2 linked regions of the Rattus norvegicus genome follow. The protein of the gene in region 1 interacts with the protein of each later gene in a pairwise test. Links are inferred from orthologs where the notes say so. Each region holds a gene or a part of one and is shown in the gene's direction. Other genes may lie near its edges.

Region 1 (3,891 bases):
AAGGAAAAGTTTAGTTCGGGACCTTATCCCTTTCCACAAGAAGACAAGATTCACTTAATATATCAATCAATTCTTTTTTTAAAATTTGTTTAATTCCATTTTATGTGCACTGCTATGAGGGTGTGAGACTGCCTGAAACTGGAGTTACAGACAGGTGTGAGCTGCCATATGGGTGCTGGGAATCCAACCTGTAGAAGAGCCATGTCTCCAGCCCCCTCTCAATGAATCTTTGTCCTATTTCTATAGTGTACCTTTTTGTTTGCCCATTATGAGTTTTGTTTGTTTGGCTGGTTGTTGTTTGATGTTTTGAGATAGCCTAGACTGAGCCTGGAAGTTGCTCTATAGTCAAGGCTGGTTGTGAAAGACTGATCCTCCTGCCTCTACCTCTGAGGTTCTAGGATTACAGGTATGTATCGCCGTGCTTAAATTGTGCCTCATTTTAAATACTAAGTTAGGCCTTCTCTACATACCTCGAGTTAATTATAAATCTCTTGACCAGATCCCATGTAAAATATTCACAACACTATTTCTAACTTTCAATCTCACTCAATTCTTCATTAGAACTCCATAAACATGACTTAAATTGGTTCTCATTTTCCATGCCCTCTCCTTCCCATCTTCAAGTAGAACTGTATTTTAAAAACACGTTAAACTGAGAAACAGATAACAGAAAAGGGAAGCCAAAAAGAAAAAAGAAAAACCCATTAAAGTAGCATCACTATTCATTTTATCAAAAAAAAAAACCCAGCCAAATACTTACTTTTAATTAAATATATTTCATCCTGTTTAAGTCACTATATCTGTAATCTCAAGATTATTTTCAAAAGCAAAAGCATTCTTGAGATCCTTTTCCCTGCTTGGGAAGAAAGAAACATCGTTTGGATTATAATATCATTCTGGACCACATGACCCAAGAAGAACATGAGATGGGGATTGAGTCTGGAAGAGGTTAAAACAAAATAAAACACAACCCCAACATCTTATAAAAGCAAGAATATTCTACTTTGTTTTCATATCATCTTGGCTCCTTTTGAAGTCCAGCAAATCTGGAAAGGAAGGGTAAACATGAGGTGGAAGGGCAGGAGTAATATGGCTCTGAAAATCTCACTGGTGTACAGGGACAAAGGCATATTGTCACTCACTCGCCACACACTGATACAGTGCATAGATCACTGGAATACGATAAAAGCCTCATCTATGACCACGGGCAAGCCACTTTCCTTCCATCATTGTTTCCTCTGAAAAATGAAGGAAATCCATGTGTAGGTGTCCTTTCTGCTCTGAGTTTCATAATACTGAGCTCTGTACAGGAATGTTTCCATCCATCCAAGGCCAGACTCAGTTCGCACAGAAACAGACTTTAGCGGTAAGGACCCAGGTAGTCCATAACTGTGAGGATCCTGCTATTTTGAATACTGACCATTCTTGTGTTCTTTGGCATTAAAAACAATATACCCTAGCTTTTGTCAGTGCTTGCTAGATGCCAGAAGCCTGGCACAAGTCTAAGTGCATGGAAAAATTAATTAGTGGAATCGTAAGTGCTAGTTCATCTCATTATATCTTTCAAGACTCAAAAGAAAATGAATTCACTTGGGTGGCTATAATTGATTTTCAGTGTATATTTTTTTTAAATCCTAACTTTTTAAAAAAAAAAAACCTGTTGGTTGATGCCTTTGTCTTTCCCTACTTCTCAGGCCTGTACAATTCAGTGGACAGCTGGATGATTGTGCCCAACATTAAGCAGAACCATTACACAGTCCATGGACTCCAGAGTGGGACACGCTACATCTTTATTGTGAAAGCCATAAATCAAGCAGGCAGCCGGAACAGTGAACCCACCAGGCTAAAAACAAACAGTAAGTTGTGATTCCAGGAGAAAAGACTCATTTTTGCTCTCTGTGTCATGGAGGACAGTTAACCCGAGTAGACTCCCAGAGCAGTGGCTCTGAGGAGAGGGGCTTTACTGTTGTAGCTTGTGCTTCAGGTAAAGGATTTGTTGGTGCCCAGGGGTGTTTGTGAACTAAAACATACATAGCACAGCTTGGAATGAGGTTAGGGAAGGGTTTGTCTCTGCCTTCCACCCCTGTCTCCTATGCTTGGGAGAAAATTAAGTTAAAGTGTATTACTTGTGGTGATCTAGCAAAGCTCTACCACAGAGAAGCCATATTTTTAGGAATGCCCTTGATCACCACCGACAGAGTTTAGCAAGGATTTCCAAGTAGTTTAAGTGAATAGTGGTCTTTGTTTGTTTGTTTGTTTTTAACTGCCTGTCACACACTGAAAGAAGTGTGAAGGCAGCCAACTCAAGACTAGTATAGCAGCTGTGAGATCTCTTGAAAGCTTGGAGCTCTGTCTTTGTGCATCAGTTCACCCACAAGGCCAGAAGATGGCCAGTGCAACCTCTGATGTCATATTTCCCTTCAAAGTAGGAAGAAGAGAAAACGTTGGTAAGCCTTTAATCAAGGAAACAGGAGCTTAATCAGAATTTTCTTCCACTCTGCTTGACTTCAGTTTCCTTTTTATTAGTCATCCCAAGCATCGAGGGAGGCTGGCAGAGTGAGAGAGAGAGAGAGAGAAGAAGTAAGGAATGGATGCTGTATAAACACACAGTGTCTATCACAGAGGCATACTGTACACTAAACCTCTTTCAATACCCAGCACTTGGGGTCACAGGACAGTGTTTTTGTCATATGGTTATAAAGGTCTCTGTAGTAAAGCACATGCTATCTTTCATCATTGATGATGGAGCAGCCACTCAAACAAAGTCGCCTAATTATATGCGCACTCCAGTTTCAAAGAAGCAAACATCTGTTGCTGAGTTGGTTTTATTTTTTTTTTTGTTTTTTGTTTTTGTTTCCTTTTTCTTTTGTGAGCAATTGCCTCATTAACACAAAGACTATCCTACCTCAAACATTGCAACACTCCTTTAAAAAATTTCCCTATATCCCAACCCACTCATGGAAGTAAGACATTCTTTTACTTTTTTTAGGCTAACCATTTAAACTAGGTCCCAAAATGACTCAGAAGAAGGTGCAGACCTCCAATGATGGATTGATGGAGGATGGGCGCTCTCTGCAGCTCTCACATTTGAGGATGTGAGACTTGGAGTGGTCCCTTTTAATATCATAATATATGATGGGAACACTTTCTCCTCCGTGCTTGGAATATGACTTCCAGCAAAATGAGATACCCACGTTTTTTCACAGAGGGAAAATAATGCATGAAGGTTATCTTTTGGGAGGATGACTTCTCTTCTTAGTTGCCAGTTGACACTCTTGCCTGCTTTCCTAATATAGTTCAAAGTGCAGCCAACCTACATCATCATATTGGGGGTCCCCTGCTAATGATGGTCCTGGAGGGGAAAGACACAGTTCGTAAATGTTTCATCATAGTTTCCCTTCCCTTCTTCTTTTACTTTTTTTTTCTTTCAGGCCAACCATTTAAACTAGATCCCAAAATGACTCACAAGAAGTTGAAGATCTCCAATGATGGATTGCAGATGGAGAAGGACGAGAGCTCTCTGAAGAAGAGCCACACTCCGGAGAGATTTAGTGGCACGGGGTGTTATGGGGCAGCAGGAAATATATTCATTGACAGTGGCTGCCACTACTGGGAGGTGGTCATGGGTTCTTCAACATGGTGAGTGGGATTTTTTTCTTTCTTTCTCTCATCTTCTCTGCTTTTAGGTTCTTAGGAGATTCAGTTGTAGAGCACAACTAAGATACTAAAAAGTCACGGTTAAGAGATCTTTGATAAGGGCTGGAGAGATGGCTCAGCGGTTAAGAGCACCCAACTACTCTTCCAGAGGTCTTGAGTTCAATTCCCAGCAACCACATGGTGGCTCACAACCATCTGTAAAGAGATCCGATGCCCTCTTCTGGTGTATCTGAA
Region 2 (3,923 bases), on another chromosome or scaffold:
AGCTCCCTTAAAAAGATTTATCTGTCTTTTAAGGCTTATGTGTAACTTGTGCACGAGTGTGTGCATGTGTGTGCAGGTACCATCAGAGGTCAGGAGAGAGCATTGCAGTACAGGTACTTAATGCTGTGCACTTGTTTATGTGACCTAGTATATGCTAAACTCGCGGGCTGCAGTTTGCTTCTGCGATATCTTGTTTGAGATTGCTTCAGGATCAGTCCTCGGAGTAGGTGGAAATAATAACCAGCATGCCACAAATTAAGATATGAGCAGCGTTCTTCTCCTTAGAGGGGTGCTACAAACCAGAACTGGGGTTCAGGTGTAATGTGCAACACTGGTTTTACCTGTCATGGGACCTCGTTCCATTGGATAGTTCCGGAGCTGTATCCTTTCAAGATGTCTTTCGTGGGTAGAGAACATGTCCTCTTCCTGAATGTCAGGGTAGCTTTCCCTGTCGGCCTCATTTTAGCACTCCAGTCGCTTTCACATCCAGAACATTCCATTTATTTCAGGTCGTGTGTCCACCGGCCCCTCATACTTGACTTTTCAAGCCTGTAAGCCTCATGACCCCTCAGGCCCTTGGCTCTCCCACTCTTCTGCTTTCTCCCTTGATCAACCCTTGTGTCATTCATCACTGGTGACTTTTGAGCGCTGCTGCTCTGTGTGACAACTGTCCTCTCTCTACTGTTAAAGTTCCAGAAAAATTGGTGCGACTTGCTCTTACCCCTGCCTGTGGGCAGACAGTGCTGCTGCTTAAACTTGAGGCTTTTTTTCTAGACATATACTTCTAAGACTTGAACAATTTTTCCAGCTATCATGACAAATTCCAAGTTGGAGCACATTTCTTTAATGGGGAACCTTTCATTTATTGTGTATTGGAGTTTGAAGTGTCAGGGCTTTAGTTAATGTAGGTGGCCTCAGATTAGCCTTAGCTTTTTTGTCCTGTTCTTTGAGACTTGGTCTTTGTGTCCTGACTGGAACTTGCTTTGTTCTTGGAATTGGCGTTGGATTCAGACTTCTTCCTCCCCTTGCCTTCTGTGAGTGTTGGAGTTAAAGTGTAAGTTACCATACACAGTTCTTGGGGTTGGGGATTTGGCTCAGAGGTAGAGTGCTTGCCTAGCAACCGCAAGGCCCTGGGTTCGGTCCCCAGTTCCGAAAAAAAAGAAAAAAAAACATACACAGTTCTTGGCCTTTTTTTCCATCAGGACTCCTGTGTTCTGCTCTAAGTTCAGCATTGGCCGTGACATACTAACCTTTTTCAGCAGTAGCTACTGTTTGACAGACTTTTTTTTTTTTTTAAGATGTATTTACTTTATGTATATGAGCACACTGTCATTATCTTCAGACACACCAGAAGAGGGAATCAGATCCCATTACAGATGGTTGTGAGCCACCATGTGGTTGCTGGGATTTGAACTCAGGACCTCTGGAAGAGCAGTCAGTGCTCTTAACCTCTGAGCCATCTCTCCAGTCCCCTTGACAGACTTTTTATGTTATACCTTTATTTTGATGTAATTTCTTTAAAAACATTTTTTAATGGTAATTGTTTTTTATTCCAAAGTTTTTTCAGACCTAACCATATCAGTTTGATTTCCCCCCTTATCTGATAATCTGTTTGTCACCTATTCTATTTTTTTAAATGTGTGTATTATGTATGTGTGTGTGTGTCACTTGTTCCTGTACCCAAGAGGTCAGAAGAGGAAGGTGGATCCCCTAGAGCTGATGTTGTAATGGTTGTGAGCTTCCCAGGATAGGTGCTGGGAACCGAACTTGGGTTCTCTGAAGGATCAAGTGCTCTTAATGGCCAAGCCATCTCTCTAGCCCCTGTGTTAAATTTAGATAAAACCTTTCGTGTCATTTTGCTGCCATGCCATTAGCTCATTAACTGCATAATCTTCTTTTTTTTTTTTTTTTGAGAGTAGTCAACCTTATATACTCAGATGTGCACAAACTATTTATTTTTAGTTCATGAAAAAGTTATCTTCTTTTTGCCAAGCATGGTGGCACATACTTTTAATCCCAGCATTTGGGAGGCGCAGGCAGGCAGATCTCTGAATTCGAGGCCAGCCTGGTCTGCATAGGAAGTTTGAGGCTGGCAGCAGCTGCATAGTGAGACCTTGCCTCAACAACAACAAAACCCACTTCTTTCCTTAAGTCCTTCTCTCTCCAACTAGGCACTGAGTGATACTTACATTTTCTCTTTATTTCAGATGATGATGCTACGGCAGAGAATGGAGCCCTGGCCCCAAAGCAGGAGATCGCTTCAGCGGGAGAGTCTCACGAGGTTCCTGGCACTCTCAACATAGGTGTTCCTCAGATTTTCAAATATGGAGAAACCTGTTTTCCCAAGGGCAGGTTTGAAAGAAAGAGAAATCCTTCCAGAAAGAAACAACACATATGTGACGAGTGTGGGAAACACTTCAGTCAGGGCTCTGCCCTTATTCTTCATCAGAGAATCCACAGCGGGGAGAAGCCTTACGGATGTGTCGAATGTGGGAAAGCCTTCAGCAGAAGCTCCATCCTGGTGCAGCACCAGAGAGTCCATACTGGAGAAAAACCCTACAAGTGTCTCGAATGTGGGAAAGCCTTTAGCCAGAATTCTGGGCTCATTAACCATCAGCGAATCCACACTGGGGAGAAACCGTATGAATGTGTTCAGTGTGGGAAATCCTATAGTCAAAGCTCAAATCTTTTTAGACATCAGAGAAGACACAATGCAGAAAAACTTTTAAATGTTGTGAAGGTTTAAGAAATTATGAGGAAACAATCAGCACTCAGGTCTTTTTCTTCAGAAATGAAGACAAAATTAAAAAGTGAAGAGATATGGAAACTATTTTTCCCCATTGACTGAGAAAATCTACTGGGAAATAAAAAAAAAAAAATCTTCATTCACCATTATTACCTTGAAAGAAATGGTGTTATACCTGCCTAGAAACCGAAATTTTAAATAATTCAGGTGTTAATAACCTAAATTTTCCATGTGATGTTTATATTTTCTTTTTTTCTCCCCAAGTAATTAGATGCCTGGTTCTCTGTCCCTCCCCTTTTTCAGACAGCTACTTTATTTCTGTGTTGATCACTGGAGGGGTGTTCTGTGAGGGTGCACACCTTTTTGTTTTAAAGGGCAACACAGGAATTGTAAAATCTAAAGCCCATCTTCAAGGTTTAGAACCATCCTTGAAAGCTTAGCTTCCTTTTGTTCAGGTTGAGAAGATAACGGCCAAAGCCGCAGTCAGATAAGCCTTAAGTCTCAGACGAGAGATGGCAGCAAAACTTCCAGGAGCGGAGGGACAACTGGGGAAGTTCCCTGGTGAAGCATGTCTCTTAAGTACAGTCAGTCTACAGGAAACCTCCAAAGGAAAAAGTGATTTTACCTAACTTGTGGGAATCTTACTAACTAAAATGGTTTTCCTGTGTAAACACAGACAATTGTAGAAGTGATGGTAAATCAAACACTAAGGAAGAATGTAGTGATATTGAAAGGCAAATGTAAAATTAAAGTAATTATATGTATGACATGGCTTTTAGAAAAATTCTTAACTCATTTTGCCTCATCCTAGTTAAGGACAGGGAATTCCGTGATAGGGTGGGCAGCAATATCAGGTTTGCTATTTTTATTCCTTTGGTACAAAAGGGTTGAACACCAGGCTAAAACAGCCATACATTTCTTATTAAACGTTTCTACTGACAGTGCACTGTGCTGGGTACTGTAATCCTACCTAAGCAGGTAGGTATTCGCTCCACTGTAAGTCATGAGGGGTTTCCCCATCACCATTCCCAGCCACCTCTGAGAGCGCCAGAGCTGTAGTTCTCTTGCCAGTGTGTTGTGTTTGGAGGGAGAGCTAGCTGGTCAGCTCTTAGCGTTCTTCAGAGCTGAGCTCAAGACACACTCTTAGTTTGAAAGTTTATGAATCTTAAAAATCCAA

Evidence for each region.
Region 2: the proteins of Mid2 (region 1) and Zfp24 interact in binary tests that used the Homo sapiens proteins (3 or more experiments, as listed by UniProt). The two-hybrid records come from large-scale screens. The link is inferred for Rattus norvegicus from reciprocal best matches to the Homo sapiens genes MID2 and ZNF24.

Annotation. Positions count from the first base shown.
Region 1 is NC_086039.1:109,237,115-109,241,005, forward strand, and holds part of Mid2 (probable E3 ubiquitin-protein ligase MID2), read left to right. Parts: intron 1-1,694; coding exon 1,695-1,856; intron 1,857-3,431; coding exon 3,432-3,639; intron 3,640-3,891. UniProt on the Homo sapiens protein: E3 ubiquitin ligase that plays a role in microtubule stabilization. Mediates the 'Lys-48'-linked polyubiquitination of LRRK2 to drive its localization to microtubules and its proteasomal degradation in neurons.
Region 2 is NC_086036.1:15,573,701-15,577,623, reverse strand, and holds the end of Zfp24 (zinc finger protein 24), read left to right. Parts: intron 1-2,207; coding exon 2,208-2,746; 3' UTR 2,747-2,879; downstream 2,880-3,923. UniProt on the Homo sapiens protein: Transcription factor required for myelination of differentiated oligodendrocytes. Required for the conversion of oligodendrocytes from the premyelinating to the myelinating state.